Arabidopsis thaliana: one gene and its partners. The protein of the gene in region 3 interacts with the protein of the main gene of each other region in a pairwise test. Each region holds a gene or a part of one and is shown on either strand. Other genes may lie near its edges. The genes, in order: AT3G12170, PAB3, AT4G01090 and AT2G21830.

Evidence for each region.
Region 1: the proteins of AT4G01090 (region 3) and AT3G12170 interact in a two-hybrid assay, tested with the Arabidopsis thaliana proteins (one large-scale study listed by BioGRID).
Region 2: the proteins of AT4G01090 (region 3) and PAB3 interact in a two-hybrid assay, tested with the Arabidopsis thaliana proteins (one large-scale study listed by BioGRID).
Region 4: the proteins of AT4G01090 (region 3) and AT2G21830 interact in a two-hybrid assay, tested with the Arabidopsis thaliana proteins (one large-scale study listed by BioGRID).

Annotation. Positions count from the first base shown.
Region 1 is NC_003074.8:3,878,843-3,883,669, reverse strand, and holds AT3G12170 (Chaperone DnaJ-domain superfamily protein), read right to left. Parts: upstream 2,763-4,827; 5' UTR 2,758-2,762; coding exon 2,608-2,757; intron 2,298-2,607; coding exon 2,199-2,297; intron 2,098-2,198; coding exon 1,996-2,097; intron 1,915-1,995; coding exon 1,855-1,914; intron 1,770-1,854; coding exon 1,663-1,769; intron 1,577-1,662; coding exon 1,494-1,576; intron 1,403-1,493; coding exon 1,312-1,402; intron 1,220-1,311; coding exon 1,015-1,219; 3' UTR 822-1,014; downstream 1-821. Other genes in the region: AT3G12180 (Cornichon family protein), read right to left, coding at 132-206; RABA4D (RAB GTPase homolog A4D), read left to right, coding at 3,233-3,459, 3,734-4,175.
Region 2 is NC_003070.9:8,053,449-8,059,743, reverse strand, and holds PAB3 (poly(A) binding protein 3), read right to left. Parts: upstream 4,420-6,295; 5' UTR 4,146-4,419; coding exon 3,842-4,145; intron 3,328-3,841; coding exon 2,546-3,327; intron 2,454-2,545; coding exon 2,376-2,453; intron 2,290-2,375; coding exon 2,200-2,289; intron 2,109-2,199; coding exon 1,812-2,108; intron 1,741-1,811; coding exon 1,525-1,740; intron 1,161-1,524; coding exon 945-1,160; 3' UTR 684-944; downstream 1-683. UniProt on the Arabidopsis thaliana protein: Binds the poly(A) tail of mRNA. Appears to be an important mediator of the multiple roles of the poly(A) tail in mRNA biogenesis, stability and translation. In the cytoplasm, affects both translation and mRNA decay.
Region 3 is NC_003075.7:469,649-475,969, forward strand, and holds AT4G01090 (hypothetical protein (DUF3133)), read right to left. Parts: upstream 4,232-6,321; 5' UTR 3,753-4,231; intron 3,640-3,752; 5' UTR 3,601-3,639; coding exon 1,799-3,600; intron 1,712-1,798; coding exon 1,651-1,711; intron 1,558-1,650; coding exon 1,334-1,557; intron 1,244-1,333; coding exon 1,186-1,243; 3' UTR 858-1,185; downstream 1-857.
Region 4 is NC_003071.7:9,301,263-9,306,569, reverse strand, and holds AT2G21830 (Cysteine/Histidine-rich C1 domain family protein), read right to left. Parts: upstream 2,858-5,307; 5' UTR 2,750-2,857; coding exon 1,697-2,749; intron 1,620-1,696; coding exon 1,521-1,619; intron 1,428-1,520; coding exon 870-1,427; 3' UTR 545-869; downstream 1-544. Other genes in the region: AT2G21820 (seed maturation protein), read left to right, coding at 3,351-3,587; AT2G21810 (Cysteine/Histidine-rich C1 domain family protein), read right to left, coding at 3,930-4,316; EME1A (essential meiotic endonuclease 1A), read right to left, coding at 4,825-5,013, 5,114-5,228, 5,305-5,307.

The DNA of each region.
Region 1 (4,827 bases), on a different chromosome or scaffold from region 3:
CAAAAAGCTAAGTTGCTCGGTGTTTTTTCACAAGTACAATTCCGACAATCAGGATTTGAACAGTAAGGACAGATCTCGATTTAAGAATCTTAATGGAAAGTAAAAGGGGACAAACAAAGTAGATAGATTACCTGGTAGAAGACGGAAGCGACGAGAGCCAAGCTAACGAAGAAGGAGACTATCCATAAAAACAAATCCCAAGCCATATTTGCTCTCTTCAACAATTACGATTCGTCTTTTTGCGACTGCGACTCTTCTCCTTAAATACCTTTGAAAAAAAAAGAACTCTTCTTCTCTCAACAATTGGTGTACTTTACTTTGGGGTTCTATTGGACATTAGATTCTTCTTTCCTTTTTATTATTACTTCTCTAGTTTCTTTTTGTGAATATCCTTTTTGTTAAATTCCTTTTTCTTTTTCAACAAAAAAAAAAGATGCTTGGTGTTAATTAATAAAGAACTAACAAAATTTATTAACTGTATGCCATTTAGGCCTATACAAGCCATATAAGTAAATAATTTCATTTTTTTCTTCTCTTTTAGAATAATTATTTGGTTCTTTTAAATAAGTTCACTTGAAATTTGTTAGTTCTTTATTTAGGCCTATACAAGCCAAAGGATCCGTCCACTCTCCTCTTCCCGAGAAACTTGGTTGATACCGTACGTTTATATGTTACATTGTAACAAAGGCTTGTTTAGTTATCAACTGATTATGATGCATTACTCGACCTGATTGTTTTTGCAGGTGGAGAAGTCCTAGGACCCGGTGATAGAATTTCTCTTCTTCTGAAGATCCAGACGACATACACGTGGGACCCTGAGCTTTTGAACTGGTAAACTCACTGCTTTTTTTGTTGTTGGAAAAAAGACAAAAAGTAAAAATACACATTGTTTCCTAGCAAATACACATTAGTCTTCAACTTCTAAGAAGCAACAAATGTGATCTAATTTACGCTAAAAACATTGGTCTCCATTACAAACACGAAACCTAAATTTCACAAACTACTACATAATCTTTATTTTTTTCTAGACTTCTTCGATGATCTCCGGCTTTCAACTTTTCTCTGAGCAGCTTCGAACTCTTCTTCGTTTGGCTCAGAGTCAGCATTGCTACCATACCTAGAGACAAGTGAAGAGAACATTGAATCGAACTTCTCTTTCCTCTCATCTCCCCGCTGGGACATTACAGCGTATAAATCTTTATCTGCAGCCTTTGCTGCTCTGAAAGTATAGAAATTTTGAAACAGGTCACAACAAAGATAACTTCAGAGGGCATTTATTGGGGTGGAAAAGGTAGACAAATAGAAGCTTACTTCCGTCTCATCTTCTGGGGATTCGTGGGAGGTTCCATTTCTGCAATCTCCTTTGCCCATTTCTTGTAAGCTTTTGTTGATTTCACTTCTCCTGCAGATGTTAAACAATGGTATGCACAAACAAATCAGAACCTGGATAGGTTTTATAGACAAAAGAATTATTGCAAGAAAGAGAAGCCTACCCGCTGCAATGGCCTCATCGATAATATCTTTGAAACGGTGCGAATCAAGCTTGGGGTTCGAGCAAAGCATTGAGCAGAAAAGCCTGAAAGAGATATAGTACCAATAATGTTTATACAAACTTCAACTCACAAACTTGACAATAATGAAAACAAGGGGATGATTAATTACCTGCTCATTTTACCCTTAAACTTGTTATATAGCTCAATCAAATCATTCTTCTCGGATTCAGAACCCCTATAGTTGGCCTCAAACTCTTCAATATCTTCCTCGGTGACCTATAGCACAAATGATCAGTATACAGAACGAAACAGTTGTGTTGCAAAGTCCAAAAAGAAATCAATTGTGAATCATGATTCTTACCTTCTTGTACATTGCCTTGAAGAAGTCCCTCAAGTTGTCAACCACATCTCCCGAAAGATCCTAATGAGATAGGGAAATAACCAGTTTGTAAGAAAATCCTCCAGTACCTTTACTTAAGTTGAAAACTTTCTTTCAACTTACAGCATCATCAACTGAGCCAGTTTGATCATAGACTGCTCTTTTCTCTTCATCACCGAGAATCGAAATAACCTTTTGCAACTGCTGAAATTTCTCTTTAGCATCCTGTATTGGATAAGAAAAACAAGAATTCCGGTTACAATGTAAAATTGAATAGACCCCTAAAAACTAAGAAAAGTAAAGAAACCAAAACCCCTCAGTTAAACCTCATCATCCTTGTTTTTATCAGGATGAAGCCTCAATGCTAACTTATGATACGCTTTCCTTATCTCTTGTGGAGATGCTGTTGCTTCAACACCAAGAACCTTCAACAAAGACGCATTCATTAGTTCGTTTCACTGAATTCTACTAACCACCAAGAAAACAACTAAGAATTGCAACAGCTACGGTACAAATTGATCAAACCATGGATCTTAACCAAGTAAAGTCTCTTAGCCTCTTACAATCCCAACAATAAACAATGATATTCAGATTATCACAAAAACATCATCAGACGAATCAGCACATGAAAATCGACAAAACAATCTTAAATTTCGAAGCATAACTGGAACAAGTCCCAAATCCAGAAACGGAAACCCTAATTGGAACCATCGGATAAAGAGAATGTTGAGATACCTCGTACAGATTTTTCTCATTGGATCTTCCATCATTCTCCATTTTCAACGTTCTCGTGTAACTCCTTCGCCGAGAAAGTACACACCAGAGATAAGTAATGGAGTTAAAATTTTGCTTCTCAGAAAATTTATGGCGCCAATAAATTTCCATTGCCGCCTATTTTAACAAGGTTATAACCTAATCTGGTATAGTAGTTAAACCGAACTTGATTTGGTATGATATCGATTTTGAATTAATTCGTTCAAATTGCGCCGGTTATGTTTACGTACCGTGCCATTAGGAAATTGAACGGTGAATAAGGTACGAATAAAGTAAACGGCCAGGATGAATTGGGTTAAGGGTGATCTATGGCACAGTAGAATAATTCCTAGAGTAAAGGGTCCCGCATCGGCCGTTAATCCTCTCTTTCTCTCAATCTCTGAATAATTTTTCGCTTTCTCTGCCTAACCACCATTCATTGTGATCTGAGTTTCTGTGTTCGTCTGATGGTAGATTCGACTGTTTCACGCGTGCAATACGAATCCGAGACTCTTCGCCTTTCGTATTCGTGATCTGGAGATTTGTGTATATTCATTCTCCTTTGTTGTTGTGTTTTTAAATAATAATAATAAGAAGAAGAAGAGAGATGTCTAATTTGTATGGAGATTATAACCAAAAGATCGATTACGTCTTCAAAGTCGTGTTGATCGGTGATTCTGCCGTTGGCAAAACTCAGCTTCTTGCTCGGTTCGCTAGGAATGAGTTTAGCGTCGATTCTAAAGCCACCATTGGTGTTGAATTCCAGACTAAAACGCTCGTCATTGATAACAAAACCGTCAAAGCTCAGATTTGGGATACTGCTGGCCAAGAAAGGTTTTGCTTTTTTCTTCTTCATTCATTAGAAGTAATGACACCATGAATATCATTTGGTATATATCAGAGAACGTTCACAATTCATCCATTTGATTGATTTATGTCTTAGCAGCTAGAGATGCCATTGAATTAGGCAACACATGTTCCAATATAAGTAGATATGTATGAACAATGGGTTGGGATCTTTGATGGGCAAATGGGCAACATGAATATGTGATGTTTGATCATCACTTTGTTTAAGGCTCTTACGTTTATCAAAGTGTTTCTTTGGCAGATATAGGGCGGTGACAAGTGCATACTACCGTGGAGCAGTTGGGGCAATGTTGGTCTACGACATGACCAAACGTCAATCATTCGATCACATGGCTAAATGGCTGGAAGAGTTACGAGGACATGCGGACAAGAACATAGTGATTATGCTAATTGGGAACAAATGTGATCTTGGAAGCCTAAGAGCAGTGCCAACAGAAGACGCACAAGAGTTTGCACAAAGAGAAAACTTGTTTTTCATGGAAACCTCTGCTCTAGAAGCTACCAATGTTGAAACAGCATTTTTGACCATCTTAACAGAGATCTACCGAATAATCAGCAAGAAATCACTAACGGCTGATGATGATGACGCCGATGGTAATTCAAGTCTCTTGAAAGGAACTAGAATCATCATCCCGAGCGAGCAAGAGAGTGGGAAAAGAGGTGGATGTTGCGGCAAATCGTAATTCTACTAGCGAAAGAGAGAAAGATTGTATTTTTTGGTTGTTCTTGTTGTTTTTTCTTTGTCCCGCTTTATATATTTTGTTATTCGTGTTAGGCCATTTGTTCTTGAAACGAAACAATATGCCAAGGTTTACTAGAGAAAGAGTATGAGGGTGAAACAAGAAGCCCCCATTTTTTACATCACATTTTATAGAAAAAAATAACCTTTTATGAGATCGTGTGTCTTGTGTTGATTTCACAAGAAAAAGATGATAATTCTGCTGATATGTGTATTATTATCAATCAAAAAAATATGAACATACACTTTTTTTTATGTGTAGAGTATTCATTACTTATTTACAGGACAACCAAATAAATAGTGGTCCCATCATATTCCAACCTTCATTATCAGGAAAATACATATTCCAACTTTTTTTTCTTTTTCTTTTCAGCCGATTCCAACTATAATTCAGACCAATGGGCTTCAAATTCTGTCAATGTCAAATGTATGGATAACGATTCTCTACAAAAAGACCAAACCCAAAAAATGGACCCCACGAAATGCCAGCGTGGCATCACATAATATCATCATCAGCCCACCGTTTCAATCGTTTTGCTCCGGTTTCCCAATTTTCTTCACGCTTCTCCCATACCCTCTTACCTATCTTCTTATTC
Region 2 (6,295 bases), on a different chromosome or scaffold from region 3:
AAACAAATCAGTTACAATATTCAAATATTTGTCAAGTATTCATATATTTCTAAATTTCAAAGTAAGAGAAAAAAGAAAGTGGATGGAACAATCTAGAACCGAACACAATGAATGGAAATATGAGCAAGTTATAATTTAAATATGTAAAAGGAGAGTGAAGTCAACAAATGATGAGGCAAAGGGTCGGCTCTTGTAGCTCCAATGAGAAGGGTCAGACACATTTTGGACGGTGACATGTATCAACCCCACTCACTCTCTTCTTTATTCACTCATTTTTTTTGTTAGTCTTCTTGTGTGCTAATGTATGGTCAATTTGAAATTAGCACTGATGTTGACTTTTTAAAATATTTTCATATGAACGAGCTGGTTCATGTACCATGCCAACATATGTTTTTCAAATAAATTAATCGAATTAGATTCTTGTTGTGACTGAGAGTATTTTCGATCAACATAAACCATTCAAATTAACGTCATATCAAACACTATTATGAAATGAGTGGTACAATCATTGAATCGCTTGCTTCCAACCCCTCAAAAAGAAAAAGTCTGTGTGCATATAATTGATATCAACTACAAGTTGAAATACAAACCACAAATTATGAGTAGACACATTCGAATAAATTCATAATAGAAGGCTGCTACCATAATAGAAGGATTGTCCCTTGTTGCTGACCATGAATACCGAACAACTTAAATTTCAAGTAGAGATGGATTATTTGGGGATTCGGAAGAAGAAGTCTACTCAGATTATTAAGAAATCATCATTGTCCAAAGAAAAAGAAAAACACCATAAACTAAGTTAAAGACACAAAAACCATAAACTAAGTAAACAAAAAAAAACTGCTAAAATAGTAAAGGAAGACTAAAACCCAAAAAAGAAAAGAAAAGGAGTCGATATCAAAACTAAAAGAAGAAAACAGAGTTGAGCAAACGCATTGCAAATTTCAGTCGGTGGTAGAGAAACCAAGATCATGATCAGTTGGATCAACAGATAGCCTGAGAACATCCAAAGCCTCGGATACTTTAGACTTGAGTGCCTCTGGTGACTCCATCAGGTGCAAGATCTCAGCTTGATCCATCTCCAACAACATTCCTGTGACTTTAGCCACGTGAAGTGGTTCGTGCCTTTCCACAAGTGGGTACAGTTGTTCTCCAAGCATCTGTTCCCAACCAATTTTTTAAAAATAAAAATCAGTAAACATATAAATATATAGATATGCCAATCTCTATCAACTATATATTTATGTGACTTTAACTTTTATTTATTTGTTATAAGACCATAATTCTTTCAAACATTTGATGTTAAGAAACAAAATTCACCAAAACATTTTTCAGTTATTCAGGAAATATTTTGTAAGATAAAATGCAAATGTGACTGACCTCTCTTTGCGTTTGGTTTTGCATCAACAATTGAAAACATATGTTTAGAGTTAAGGGTTTATTATTCAAAAGTTATACACCAAATGCAAAAGAAAACGCAAAACAAAGAAATGTTTAGCTGAGATGGAAGGAAAAGAGGCAAACCCGAGTGCGATCAGCTGGACTAGCAGAAGCTAAGGAAGAAGTGAGCTTAGAGATTGGAAGGAGAGGAGCTTTCTGGTGAGAGATCGAAGAAGCATCTATTGGCAAAGGAATGATAGGAGGTAAGATTCCTTGAGGAACACTCGAATCCATTCCGTTCCTCCCGTTACTCGCACCGTTCATATATCTCATTCCCGGGGACGGGTTACGGTGCATAAGCTGTCAATATTCAATCCAACTCAGTTTCATGATTGTTGAAAACTATAAACAGACTCAGTTTAGTAACATACTTGTTGTTGTTGGATGTGTTGTTGCACGTTAGTAGCACCACGCCTGAATCCCATACGAGGACCGGTCTGAGGTTGTCTTTGAAGCGGATAAGGCACGATGAAGTTGCCCGGGCCAGAACCTGGACGCATCCCGGGCATGAACTGAGGCTGGAATCCATATCCAATGGGCTGGGACGGGACCATACTTGCTCCGTTTTGGCCTACGTACATGTGTTGAGGTGGACCGGGCATTGGTCCACCTGGCGGGTGATGGAACCCTGACATTGGCCCTGGTGCTCTAATCTGTGAAAACAACGCCTGAAAAAATTGCAAACTTATGTACTTAGTCACACATATAGCTTTAACAAACCCATTTCTTTTAAATATGTTAAAAGAGTTTTTAAAAAACCTGTAAGTGTGCTCGTCTATCTTCTTTGCGCTGCGCAAGAGCTATGTATAGAGGTTTTCTTCCGATCATCTTCCCATTCATTTCACTCAGCTGCATTGTCTCATATGTAACAATCTCTCAGATATCAAAAGAGACGAACAATAAAAGAAGAATATATTATAGTTTTAGTAACTCACGGCTCTTAAAGCTTCTTCAGGATTGGAATAAGCAACAAAACCAAATCCTCTGCTCATTCCTTGTGGATTAAGCATAACCTACATTAGTTAAAGGATTGTGTCAAAGACAACGTAACATCAACAACATATATATTTATGAATATATGTATGAGTTTTTAATTAATTATTACCTTGGAGGATGTCACATTTCCATACTCAGAGAACATCTCCTTGAGTTTCTCATCATCAACACTATCATCAAGATTCTTCAAATACAGGTTCGCTCCTTGAGATTTCTCAAACCGGTTTATCCTCTCTTGCTCAAACTTCCTTCTTAGCTCTTCCTCTCTCTCAGACTTCTTTTGCGCCCTCCCAACGTACAACACATCATCCCCTAAGCTAATTCCATTCATCTTCTCAACCGCCGAAGCCGCTGCTTCAGTGCACTCAAAATTCACAAACCCGAAACACCTCGAGTTTCCGCTCTGGTCCCTCATTACAACTGCGCTCGATATCACTCCAAATTTACCAAACGTTTTTCGTAGCTCGTCCTCACCAATCTCCTTGGGGAGATTCTTGACGTACACGTTAGTGAAACGCGGTGTAGGGGTGTTTTCATCACGAGCACGCTCTTGACGTCTGATGAAGTGTCCCACAAAAACTTGCTTGTCGTTCATTAACATTCCGTTTAGCTTGTCAATTGCGGCTTGAGCCGATTCCTCCTTCTCGAACTGGACAAATCCATACCCCTTGGACCGGCCAGTCACGTCCATTGCAACTTTGCATGAGAGGATGGTTCCAAAACTTGAAAACGTCTCGAACAAGGCCTTGTTGTCGATTGAAGCGTCAAGGTTTTTGATGAAAATGTTTCCTTTGCCGCTCAATCGCGTGCTTGGGTCACGGTTCGAAAGCATGATCCGAATGGGCCTATCAAAGAGGGGAGTGTAGTTCAAGGCCTCCATTGCACGGTAAGCTGCAAACATAAATCAACATATAAACATAGGCAAATAAGATCTCAATTCATTATAGAAAACCAGCATCTATGATATTTATAAATGCACAAATACCTATAGTTTCTACAATTAATGAGATTGAAAGAACAATTTCAAACAAATTTCACGTATTAAATTGAACTAATTAAGAAAAATCATAATATAAGAGACTGATGCATCAACTACTAAAATAAATGTTGTAGCTTTGATATTCAAACGAAACATATCAATGTAGCAGAATCATGGTATAGTAGAGATGAACTACAATATAGAATATTGATTATATGTTAATTTCTAGACAAAAAAAAAGATGATTCGCACAGGAACATGATACTGATCAAAATTAATTACCATGTCTAATAAAAAATTGAGATTGAAAAAAATCAAATCAAAACACTTTTTCTTATTGTAATGCAATTCATGATAATATATATATTTTGTTTTGCAAGACATGAACCCTAACTTGCAATTGAAGCGATATAGAATTGTATTTACCATCGTTAGGGTTACTGAAATTGATGTAGGCATATCCCAAAGATCGACGATTCTGATCGCGGCAAACTCTTACCGAGACGACATTAGCAACATGTTTGAACAAATCAAATAGATGTGCTTCAGTAACTTTCGGGTCCAGATCACCGGCATAGAGCGACGAGTTCGGGTGGGTTTGATCGGCTACCACGACCGGGGATGGAAGAGGTATTGAAACCGGAACCTGAACCGAAGTCTGCGCCGTCGGACTGGGAACTTGATCAACCATTGTCGCCGGTGCAACACCTGTGGCAACCGCCGCCGCCATGATTATGAGTTTACTTTTTACAAGACGATTTGTTATTTTCGTCTCGTGAAAGGAAACAAAATCACTGATTCTAAAAAAACAAAGATTCGATGATTTGTTTCTGTAAGGGTTTTAAGTGAGAAAGAGATTTTCTGTAAACAACATGACTCGAGGATTTGTTTCTTCACAATTTTTGATTTATTTATTTTTTAGGAATTTTATTCTTATTTAGATTTTTTTTTTTCCTTTTTTAGTTTCCTCCGATTATCAAGAAGAGTAAAGAGGGATAAAATTGAATTAGTGTGATGAGTGTGGATGCATATTTATACATAACTAGCTAAGCCTATAAAACCGAGCAATTAACAATTTAGTATAAATAAAATGTCACTTGATTTTACTATTAATAGCTAATTGAATATTTCATGAATCTTTGATAATAAGAATTGGTCGCAGTTTTAAATTATGTTTGCCTTTATTTCTTTTTTTATTACATGAGGTTTTATTTTAGTTACACTTATCGAGCATGTGCTAATTTTGTTTTCTATATCGAAAGCAACATTAAATTTATTTATTCATAAAAAAATGCATGCTTCTAAGGCTTATAAGCACACAAATCTAATTAATTTCTAATAATATAACTAATGAGGTCTTAAGAGCTAAAATTTAATAAATTGATTTAACATTTACTTTGGATAAAAATTGTGATTTTTTATTTATGTTTTTGATTAGAGTAAAGACGAACAACTAATTTTTCAGAGCAAAATTTGCGGCTATTGATTTGGTCATTACTAAGATATCAATCTTATTACTATAAATAGACACATGAAACTATTTTTAGATTCTTTTGACCAGATATTAGATTATGAATTTATGATAAATAAATTGGTAATTTTTTAGTTAGTTGAAATTAAATCAGTTGTATTGTTGATGATGTAAATAGGTTTAGTAATGCTACGAAGTAACTTATTAAAAATCATGGATAATGGAATCTTTTATTTATTTCAATAGACTACAAACCCCTTTAAATATCATACACATATATTGATACACATATATAGATTCAAGTTTTTTATTAGGGATAAAATTGAATTAGTGTGAAGAGTGTGGATTAATATTTATACTTAACTAGCTAAGCCTATAAATCCGAACAATTAACAATTTAGTATAGGGAAAGTGTCACTTGATTTTTACTATTAATAGCTAATTGGTGTTTCATAAATCTTTGATAATAAGAATTGGTCGCAGTTTTGAATTATGTTTGCCTTTATCGCTTCTGTTTTTTACATAAGATTTTATTTTAGTTACACATATCAAGAATTTGCTAATTTCATTTTCTATACCGAAATCAATACTAAATTTATTTATTCATAAAAAATGCATGCTTCTAAGGCTTTTAGGCACACAAATCTAATTATTTTCTAATAGTGTAACCACTGAAGTCTTAGGAGGTAAAATTTAATAAATTTATTTAACATTTACTTAGAATAGAAATTGTAATTGTTTTTTTTTTTTTATGTTTTTGATTGGAGTAAAAGATGAACAGCTAATTTTTGGGAGCATAACTTGCGGCTATTGATTTGGTCATGACTAAGATATCAATTTTATTACTGTAAACAGAAACATGAAACTATTTTTATGAAACTATTTTTAGATTCTTTTGACCAGAATTTGGATTATGATAAATGGATTGATGATTTTTAGTTAATTTACCCATGCCAATTATACTATAGTATCCTCAACTATGCCGGTCAACACTGGTCTTCAACGGAGTAAATTTATTAGTGTACCGGAATTGCATGTCTGTGGTGTTAACTACATGACGTCGTATAGTTCAGATATGTGGTCATACAATACATCTACTTCGTATAGCTAGGGATACACTAATATGCTTGACATGTGTGATCATGCATTCTCCGATATTTTGTGTAGCTAGTTATTTTTCTTCTACTATAAATAGAGATATTAAACTATTTTGGATTCTTTGACCGGATCACATGGATTACAATAAACCATTTTGAAATCTTTAAATAGTTGACTAAAAGAAAATTTACTATAGGGATATTGTTAAGATGTTCTCTATTTTCAATTGTATATAAGTTGTGAAATGTAATCTTTTTAATTAAAATATAAAAATGATGATGATTGGTATGTTGAATGATGGAGTAACAAAA
Region 3 (6,321 bases):
AAAACATTGCTATGTTTGTGAATTCATGAGACTTATTAGTTATTAGAATGATGCAGGTAACTAGTTTAAATATTTGGTATAAGTTTAACAATGGTAGAATTGGTTTTTAACATTTGCGTGAATGAACTAACACTAGTGTTAGTATATAAAGAGATATGAAACATTCTAGTGACTCCAATTATTGCTAATAATATTTTATTTTATTTCTTCATTGCTAAAATTTTTTTGTATTGAGAATTTCTTGATTCCTCACAATTTTATTATTAGTGGACAACTTCTGCTTACTCGTTTTTCTCATGCTCGCTACTAGTTAGTATCTTTTTGTTCTTACTCTAATTTTGTATTTTTCTAAGAAATATTGAAACATGAAAACTAAACGAACGGACCACGAGGCCTGTTAAGAACAGATTCTCTTTCTTGTTTGATATTGATATTGATATTGGGCCCATGAGTAAGTTATAATCTGTTGTCTTGTATTTTAGGAAGGACCCACTTCAGAAACGTGCAAAAACTAGTCCATCAGCCAAGAGAGGAATTAGCAGACAATATGAACATTTTAGTGGAAAGAAAGATGAAACCGGATAACTAACCGATAGATAGATAATCCCAATCCATAATTCACCTAGAACTCGAGGAAAGGGCAAATCAAGCCTAGAAGCTAATCATGAAGAAAGAAAGATCAGCTAGGAGAACATTGTTTAATTGAATTGTTGAGTATGGTCGAATGACCTACATATATTGTTGCTGACATGAAAGAAACCTACAAACCAAAACCGGTTTAAATAAACGATTTAGTTAAACCAGAGATAATAAGGAATTAGGAGGAGTAAACCATGTTATCGATGAAGCTTCTGTTACAACTTACAAAAGAGCAATAAAAGAGATAAAAAAAAAAGTCATTAAGAGCAAACTAATATCATTCCATAAAAAAATGGAAATAATACAAAGCACAAACCTTGTACCGAGAGAACCCGGTTTGTATACAGTCTATAACCCCTAAACCGGTTCTGGTCGCAATAAAAAACATACAGACATTTCCCCAAAGATATTTTAAAAAGAATACCAAAAATCAAAATCAAGATGTAAAAAACACTTTACAGTTGTGTTTAACAAATAAATAATATGAAGATGGAAACAAGAAGCAGAATCATATTTTGGTTGTGTAGTTGTTACTAGGGGGAGTTTTCATGAAGCTAATGATCTTGGAACTCTCATACCAAATCCATGCTTCACTTTCTCAATCCTGTTTCAAGTTTAACACACTAAAACTTTAGAATCTTAGGTGATCTCAAAATCTCAAAAGAATAAAAATCATTTGTGTGAATCTGCTTACGTTGGGGCTAATTTGCCAAGGCTGTGAAGTTCTTCTCCTGAATCTTGATCAAGGATTCTTCCTGATATATCAACAATGTAAGAACGGTTCTTGTCTCTAGGCAGACCACGACCCACAAGTAACTCGAAATCTCTCTTGTGAAGCTCTCTTCCATTCACAAACACGTCTGTGTTTCCTGCAGCGCAGTTATCCAGCATTGGATGGCTAAACTCTTCAATAAATGGCTGCAACAACAACAAGTAAGTCAACCATTTCTTCATCAATTTGATGACACCATTCCAATAATCAACTTGAGAGAACAATGTGAAGGTACTTACAGGTATTATACCGAGACACGGTTTGCCCATCACTCCCCAGAACCCAGCTCGGTAATCATACCTGAATCAGAGACATGTATCAGAAACTGAGTAAAGGGAAAAACAAAAACAAGAGAGAAACAGTGGATGCTGAAGTTCATGGAAGTACCAATACTTTCCAGCTTGGATTGGTCCAGCTAATTTCTCAGCACTGCTAACAAGATCTTCTGGTATAAGATGTCCATTAACCCAAACCTCTAATGACTTCATCTGGTCTTCGTTTTGATCAGTAGAGGACCTCGTTGTGATCTCTGTCGAACCGTACTCACTACCCTTTCTGTTTGAGTACCTTGAATCTTCTGAGATCTCGGTGTTAGAGTATCCATTGTAAGAAACCTCTGTCTCTGTAGCTACTGATTCTGGTTTCAGCGAGTCCTGTGTCATGAAAGACTTTTGCTTATCTGGCTTTTCATAACCTAACTGCGCCATTCCATAAGCGAGTGCAGCTCTGTTTACATTAGAATACTCAAAAAGTTCAAGGAGACTGGCATTATCAGGAGCAGCGGGTTCAGGTGCTTTTGACCCTTTACCTCGCCGACGAACAGATTTGACCTCCTTCTGTTGTTGTTCACTAGAATTGCTCGATCTTTCTTCATCATCTGAGTGTTGAGATTCAGAGCGGACGCTTTGCGTAGTAATAGTATCCTGATGATTTCTCAGTTCTTGCACTGGTTCTTCTTCATCCTTACGTGGAATATCTCTACCTGAGCTGTTGAAATCAACAGAAGAGACTTCCTCCTCTATCACTACTGTGTTTGTTGTGTTTCTATCTTCAACCTCTAGAGAGACCGGTTTTGTTTCCTCATTACCAGAAGAGAAAACGAGTTTCCTATCAACGATTGTGAAACTAATAACTTCAGAACAAGCACCGCACTGCAGCTTATGTAACCTTTCCTGAGACAAAAGCTTCTTCTTAGGCAAGTAAAGCAGCTCAAAGCAACTATGACAAGCTATAAAAGGAGCACCACCAGCAAGAGGATGACAACGTCGAACACCAGTATCCGATACAGCTTTCTTAACATACCCACGAGCAAAAGCACCGCCCATTTCAGAATCATGTTCACTCGGCCACCTTGCATAACCACCTCGAGGACCTGGAGTGCCCATCGAAGAAGGAAAACTCGAACCGTTATTAACACGTGGACTATACGGTGTCGTGAGTTTCTCGCCACGATGGTGAGACGAAACCGGGCTATACGGAGGCATATCACTGTACTGTGTAGCGAGTTTCTCTTCACGATGGTGAGACGAAACCGGGCTATACGGAGGCAGGTCACCGTACCTACCAGGAGTAGCTGGATAGTAAGAATGTGGCTCAACTATATCAGGACCAAGTTCAACATATTGACCTCCAGGATACTGACGAGCCATCTGATTAGGGTAATGACCAGGAGGATACCAGTTTGGATTAGGAACTGGAGGTGGTCTTCTTTGGTACCCATAAGGATCTTGATAAGCTTGAGGATACATTCCATGAACCGGTCCAGGGTATTGAATAGGTTCTGGATACTGATGGTAATAAGAAGGACCAGGATTATGATTAGCATGACCATGAAGATGAACTGGTCTAAGGAAAGGCTGATTCTGATCTGGTTCTTTAGGTTTATCAACTACATTATTACCACCACCACCACCGCGAAGTAGATGATCTTTGATAGAATCTAACCTTCTTAAAAGCTCAGCTCGTTCATGCTCTGTATACTCAATAGGGTTGTTGCTGCTGCTTGTGTTCTTAGATGAAGAATCTGATCCGTAATTAGGCTCGTCATTTCTCAAGCTTTTTCCAGATCTTTGAGACCCAGCTCGCGAATTTGAGTGTTTCTCCTTCAGACTCGTTTCTTCTTCGCTTCTTGAAGAACCAGCATCTGATCTCGTACCTTCTGCTTCAGAGACATCGCCTCGCGACCTCATCAGCCACTATTTCTAGGGTTTTGCTTTGTTTTTTTCCAACTGCGATTCAAATCAAAAAAGTTTCGATTTTTTATCAAATTCGAACTCAAAAACATATATCTCCGATTGAATTCAGATAAAACGAAGAACCAACAGGTAGAAATCAAACGAACCGTGAAGAATGTCGTCGGCGATATAGGTGAGAAGACGAATTTGATGATCTTCTCCGGTGGGAATAAATGAACCAATCTCTATGATGCAACCAATTTTCTAAAAAGGGGTTTTTGGAAAGAAAATTCAGAAGAATTAAAAGTCTTCTTCAATTGCTTCTTGGGGGATTAAATGTCTGCTTACTTACTACCAAACTTGAGCTGGAAGGTTTAAGCAACAATTAACATTATTATGTTAATTTTCTTCTAGCGTTTTTCCTTGGCTTTCCCGGGAATCTTAAGGGAAAGACAAAAGAAAATTTGATGAATAGATTTGAAAACTTAAGGAGGGGAAGAAGATGGAAGCAAAAAATCAAACTTTGTTAGCGTTGATTTGATATTCGTTTTTTAAAACTTTTGAGTAAAGAAGAGATGAGCGCGTATGTAATGTAAGTAAGCGCGTGAAACTAGAATTTAGACTGTAGTACGGTTGAGCGGACCGGGTCTCGTTGACTCGCAGATAAGGAGACTAACCAAATTATTACTAAAATATACGAAATCTAGAAACATGAGTGTGACTGTTTACCGACAGGTAAATTAATACGTTCTCAGATATCGCAATTTTCCAAATTTGTGAACTTAATTACTAAGAACAATTCAATTACTCGGGAAAAAAACATTCAAATTTAGAACTTACGATTACTAGTAGTATTTGATTTTTCAATATATGCCAATAAGCAGCAATAGTTATTTTCTAAAACTAAGACGACTTCCTATTTTCGTACTTTTGTGAGTGTGTTTGTACGAAAACAGACCAGCTAGTCAAATGAAATTATACATTGAGCAACCTTTTTTATATCAATAATACTAGGTCTGGTCATTCGGGTATCCCTATCTGTTTGGTTCTTTTTTGGATATCAAATCTATTCGGATATGAAGAGGTTGAGAACCATTCAGATATTCTAAAAACTTGGTTCGATTTTGGTTCGGATTCGGATCGGTTCGGTTGTTTTAGTAAAAATATAAAAATAACCAAAAATATCAATAATATTTTCAGATATTATTATAATAACCAAAAATACCCAAATATTATTATAATACAATTAAAAAGTAAATAAAAATAGGAAAATATCACTTTATATGCTCAGAAGACTGAAAAATTAGGTGTAGGAATTGTGGACTATTTCAACAGTAAAAGAACTAATGAAGTTACTTTATTATTCTTCTGTATTTTTCTTTTTTTTAATTAAAGTCTCATATATTGTTTTGTTACTAAATATTTTCATTGTTATCATCAGGTTAACCTCGTTAACAATTATTAGTAAATATTATGTATAAATTATCCGTTACAGTAAACATTATTCATGTATCGAATATCTTAACGTTTTCATATAAATATTATTCTGTTATATAATATATTAGCATGTTATCATTCTATATATCATGTAGTTATAATTATTATCATGTTAATTATATAAAAAAGTCTAATTTCCTTTTATTGTGCTGAATATACATAAATAAAAAATTCTGATTTACAATTTTAAATCGATAAATATGTTTTAACAAATAATTTATAAACTTATCGCGATATCATAGTTTTTAAAACATTAAACAAATAATTATATACTTATCATCCGAATATTACAATTATTTTTATTCAATAGCATTTTTGTAATTAATTTTTTTAAAAAAAATTTTTTGGTTTATATATTATTTATCTTTCATACTTACCTAAATAACTAATATTTATATATAAATTCTTTATTTTTTCATCATCCTCCCAGCATATCGATTAATATAGTCCATAAAAATACGTCAAGTTTAATGCTTCCATGTTAGAAGACGTGCTCTCAAAACTTCTTCTTTTGTTTGTTTTCTAATTCACAACTTGAATCTAAAAGAAACCTGGATCCTAAACGTTGAAAAATATTAACCTCGTAAACGAAGACTTGAAAGATATATGGGGAGTGTTATATGATCACATAGTGTAGGTCGCCTTCTGACTATTTTTGTGGTTTATACAAAAAGCTACGTACAGCTGTAAAGTCTTCTACTCTGTGTCTCTGTCTATCATTTAAAGATGGATTTATAGATAGTCCACTTTCCAACACCAATCAGATTTGACAAAAATATTAACATTGCATTTTTGGGATAACTATCGTTGACTTTTTTACTACCTATTTTATCGGTTAGTTATTAGACTAAGGAAACACAGAGTTTAATTGACAGAACTTCTGAGCTGTTTAGGCCCGTAATTCTTTCCCTAATTGATAAAAGGGCCCTATTTGTTTAGGTGCATAACAGGCTTCATTATATGGGCTTAGAACGGCCCGATTTGTTTACATGAAGACTTTTACATTTTAATAATTTGAACTTGATCATGTAAGTGAGTATGAGTAATGAGCTGGTGAACTTTTTTTATGTGTGATCTACATAATTATCACATAGAATAATAGCCATAAGGCTTTCGGTATTTGATTCTTATCAACTGTGGTCCGACATCTACTTTTATACACACCCACTTGTTTTTTTGTTAAAGGCTTTTTTCTTTGTTTTGAAAGTAATGATAGTGTATATAACTAAACATAAAAAC
Region 4 (5,307 bases), on a different chromosome or scaffold from region 3:
AAACTTTCCGTTTCATTGCATCAGACTGCGCAATAAAGAATCTGCACACCTCATGTGAATGTAAAAACCGCATTCTAGACAACCAAACGGGACACTTTCAATCTTGTCCCTACACGCACCACAAAATGTTCGACCACCACTTCATATGTAATCAAGGCCTCTAAGAGGGTGTTTCGGATGCACGCGATGTTGACTCTCTGTTGGAAGATCAATGCAACGCTCGTGGAGAAACAAGTAACAGGAAACACAACCGTAGCATGTATAAGAGGGAGACAAAGGGAGCTCACAAAGCAGGCAAGAGCCTCTAGCGTCTTGTCCTGGTCTACACCTTCGAAGCAAATGTTCATGACTGTACTGAAGCATTTCTCTAACAACTTGTGATAATGTTCTTCAGTAGGCACAACCAAGATCAAGATAGACCTCACGTTCGTAAAATGAGCAAGAATACATATTCCCACAACCAGAGCAGACAATATATTGGTGACCTATGACTAGTATAGTATGGGTGATAAAATTGCATAGGCGACAGAAGAGATTGAACCCTTCTATATCATTCATGCAAATGTTACAATTCATAACAACTCCTGCACCTGCAGGGGCCGCTGGCTTTTCCAATGGAAACACTGAACTTTGTGTATTATGTCACCAAGATTACATAAGAAAAACACCATTGGAACTGGAAAAACGATAATGGAATCCAAAACAGAGGATTGAAAATACATAGTGTGCCAAAAACAAAGAAAACAGAACAAGAAATAAACAGAGCAAATAAACATATTACAAACATGATTTACTAACCGACAAAATTTTAGAGGTATATAACATAACAAGAAGTTGCAGAACTTAGTTTCAGAGGAGGAACAACCTAACTACGAAGAATCACGGTCTTTGATACGATGTCGGTCAATACACCGAAGATGATAAATCGTTTCACACTCCATACATGACACAGCCTTCCCAAGCACCCTCTCATGACAAATAATACAAACTTTTTGATATGACCTCGGGAACATAACTTGGACCATTCTATGCTTGCCTCCCAAACAACGTCCTCTCCAAGTTCCAACGACTTTCGGTCCTGTCATCCCAAGAAAACGTTTACCTTTCATGGCGCAACTGACGTGGATAATAAAATTGCATATTCGACAAAATAGATTGAACCCTTTTATATCCTCTCTGCAGCTTTTACAACTCGTCATATCCGTAGCAACTGGTTTTGGCATGAGTGTCAAAAGATGGTTCCAATGAAACCGATGTCTTGATGGTTTCCCTAGCTCCACACAGAAGTTATGTGTCACAAAGTTGCAAGTCTCGCATTTCCATGGATTACCAAGTATTTCTTTTTCACATATGTGACAATGTTCTTTGCCTTCAAGCTCACACATATCAATCGATGTCACCACATGATTATGGTTGATATCATGAACCTGCAACATATACCTTACACGTTTGAGACAAAAGGCTGGCTTAAAATGATGTTCATACTTTTCTTCCACTGATAGATAATTATAAAGCCATACCATAACTTTGTTGGTTTCATAGTCTTCTTGGTTTGTTGCTCTTTTGACGTCTTCAACACAAGAATACAGATCCTTCAAGTACAATGGTGATGGCTCTTTCTGTAGTTTGTAGATATAGATCATCAGCATTGCATCATTATTAAGAAACAAAAAAACACAAAAACGATATTGATTACCTCGCGTAGAATGCATTCAATGTGACCAAGAAAATCACATTCTTCGCACGAATAAACATGATGTCCGGCATGAATCAATGTCTCGCAAACGCCACAGTACTCCAAAGAATCATCCTCTTCACGTACTCTTTTACAAACAAGTGGATGAATGTGACAAGATCTCTTAGAAATGGTCTTGGAAATCCCAAGGCATTCGAAATGAAACTCCAATTCACATTCGATGCAGTGGTAGTAAGAATCGAGAGAGCTCACTACAGCTCCCAAGCATATTTGGCAACAATTGTTTCTTCCAAAATGTTCTTTAGCATTCGAAGATACATAAAACAATTTATGCTCATGAGATTCATGCATCAGACAGCGCAAAAACGAATCTGCACACCTCATGTGAATGTAAAAACCACATTCTAGGCAGCCAAAGGGGACACTGTCAATCTTCTCTCTACACGCACCGCAAAATGTTCGACCACCACTTCGTATGTAATCAAGGCGTCTGAGAGGGTGTTCCAGATGCACGGGATGTCGAATCTCTGTCGGAAGATCGAGACAGCGCTCGTGGAGAAACGAGTAACAGTAAACACAACCGTAACATATAGAAGAGGGAGAAAGAGGGAGCTCACAAAGCAGGCAAGAGCCTCTAGCATCTTGTCCTGGTTTACACCTTCGAAGCAAATGTTCATGACTGTAATGAAGCATTTCTCTAACGTCCCAACCAGTGAAAACGTTCTTCAGTAGTGCACAACCGAGATCAAGATAGATCTCACATTCTTTACATTCATAGAATGAGCAAGAAGACATGTTCCCACAACAAGAGCAGACAATGTAACCAGGTTTTCGATCATATTGGAATAGAGAAAACTCAAGAGGATGATCTGAGTGAAAACCATGTGACACCTTTTGCGGCAGCTTGGAGCAAGTCTTACATATATCAAAATTGCAAGGCTTACATGCGTATTCAACAACTTGGTCTTGGAAGCAAATGTTGCAGATGCCTTCAGCTACAATCTCCGGCGAGGTCAAAGGGCATGAGTGGGAGAAATGCTCGAGTTTTCCCATGGGGAAGAAGCAAGATTGGAATCTTGATCTAAGAGTACCATTAGATAACACAGTAATCTTGATCAAAGAACCTTCATGATTCAAAATCCCAAAAGCATAACTAATTGTGAGGTCGACAGAGAGAGAGAGAGTAATAAATTAGTGGCTCAATAATTGTTTCTCAACGTGGTGTGGTTGGAAAATTTAATATTTTTTATTTCGTTTACTGACCATGCTTAATTGGATTCTATTGAGCCCATTTTTTTTTTTTTGGTATCATTATGGTAATTGAAGTAATAATGATACTTAAAATTGTTATTGAATATGAAACTTAAAAATTGATGAAGAGTCTTCTCAGTGTGAAGTACCTTTCACTAGACAGTTCTTTATTCATAAGCATGTTCGATAACATATCAAGAAGCATAAATCCAACAGATGATAAGGGTCAAAGACGACTTCTTTTGGCTAACTTACGACACGTGACCAACAAGATAGGTCTAGACTTCTGAAGAACTGCCACGTCTTGGCAAGGTGGCAGGTTTTAAGACCATGGCTTGAGGGCATAAATAAGTTTTGTGGACAAAAGGGGAAAATGAGTTAAGAAGGATCGGTATCATCAACGATGTCGGGAGCACAAGGAGCAGAGCCGATGGATTCAAGAACGGCGACAACGTACGAGTCAGTGGAAGGAGGACAGAACAAGACGAAGCTTGATATAAGGTCAAAGGAAGACGAAGGTGGGATTCAAGTTGACAAGCTTCAAGACAAGGTCTCTGATGCTGCTGGTCTTGGCGGACCTGTCTTTGGTGCTGGTAAAGACGACAAGAAGCAGGATCTTGGTGTTACCGGTACCGGCTAGGTCTCTGTAAAATATGTTCAGATACGGTCCTGTCATAGTCATGTAATATTAAAAACATGTTTTGAGTAGAAAACTAATCAATAAAAGTCTTTTATGAGAAAACAATGAAACCTAACATTCAGACTCTTTATTATGAACCAAATCAAACTGTGTCCTCTTAAAAAACCAATAGGATCTGTGTATGAAAAAACAGAGAAGCAAGATCAAATAGGACCTTCACAAAACCAACCAAGAGTAAAACACCTAAACTTATAACAACACAAGGAAATAACATGTGTTGAATCCTGAGACAGAACCAGTATGGTAGCTCTCAATACACAGGATGATATATCTCTTCACACGTCATACATGACACAGCTTTCCCAAACAAAAACTCCAAGTTCCAGTGAATTTCTGCCTTAAAGCTTCAAGAACATGTTTACTTTTCAAGGCACAGTTGATGTGGATAACAAAAGTACATATACGGCAGAAGAGATTGAAATCGTATATATTCTCTCTGCAAATGTCACATTTCATCTTTTCCTGTGAAGGATACTTTGTCAACAGTGTCAAAGGATGGTTCTGATGAAATCGATGTCTTGATGGTCGCCCCAACTCCACACAGTACTGATGTGTCTCGAAGCGGCAGGTCTCACATTTCCATGGGTTACCAAGTATGTTTCCTCCACATATCTTGCAATATGGATATTTATCAAGAGCACTCATGAGGACTGGTTTCATAACATGCATATGCCATATATCATTAACCTACCTGAAGCAATTAGCCAAAACGAGAAAAAGTGTTTTTAGTTTTCATGAGCGTGATTGATTATGTAAAAGTCATACTGTAGTTTGTTTTCCAAGTTGTTGGTTCCAGAGGTTTCTTGATCTATTGATCTCATGGTAACTTTGCTAGAAGAATACAAAACTTTCAAGTACAACGGCGAAGGCTTTTCCTGTTGATTATGAGTATGAGTAGCTTTTCATCATCAATAAGAAAAGAAAAGAAGAAAACAGAATTGTAATGAAAAGAAGAAAACAGAATTGCAACTCTACAAGTCAAGCACTCAAAACCACTTGCCAGAAAATATATCATTATCTTTACTCTTTAGAAAACGAGTCAGGACTACACACATTAAAGACTTCAAACAACATAATGAACTTTGCATGCATATACAAAAAAAAATCTCAGACACAATCATTCTTCTGTTTTGTTTGACATAGAAAGTTAAGAACCTATTTGATGTTCTCTCTAGTTCTAAATTAAGTCAGATGGAGGAAGTGTGAAGGAAGCAGCACCATTTTCGACGTCATCAGTCTTAATGGTTCCATCTAAAGACATAAGCACTCTGTATATCCGCTTCGAACAGGCCTCACCTACACTTGTGTCTCTTCCTACTAAATTTTCCACTTTCAAGTCTTTCAGTAGAAACTCCTTCTCATGAACCTGGTCCCCAATTTTGTTAACCAACACAACACAATTTGCATCAGAAGCCATTAGAAACAACAACTCAAGAAGTCAATATCCGTAGTTTGTGTTAACTCACCGATATGTTAGGATCCATATAAACCTTAAGAAGTGACTTCAAGGATGGGTATTTCTTTGACACTGCTATAGCGTATCTTGGCTGTACCTTTGGTATTGCTACCAACACTTTCAACCTATCGATCCAATGCATATTAAACAAAGAAGGTGATTTCTAAAAAGATTATTGAAACTGGGTTTAGATTACTCTACCAT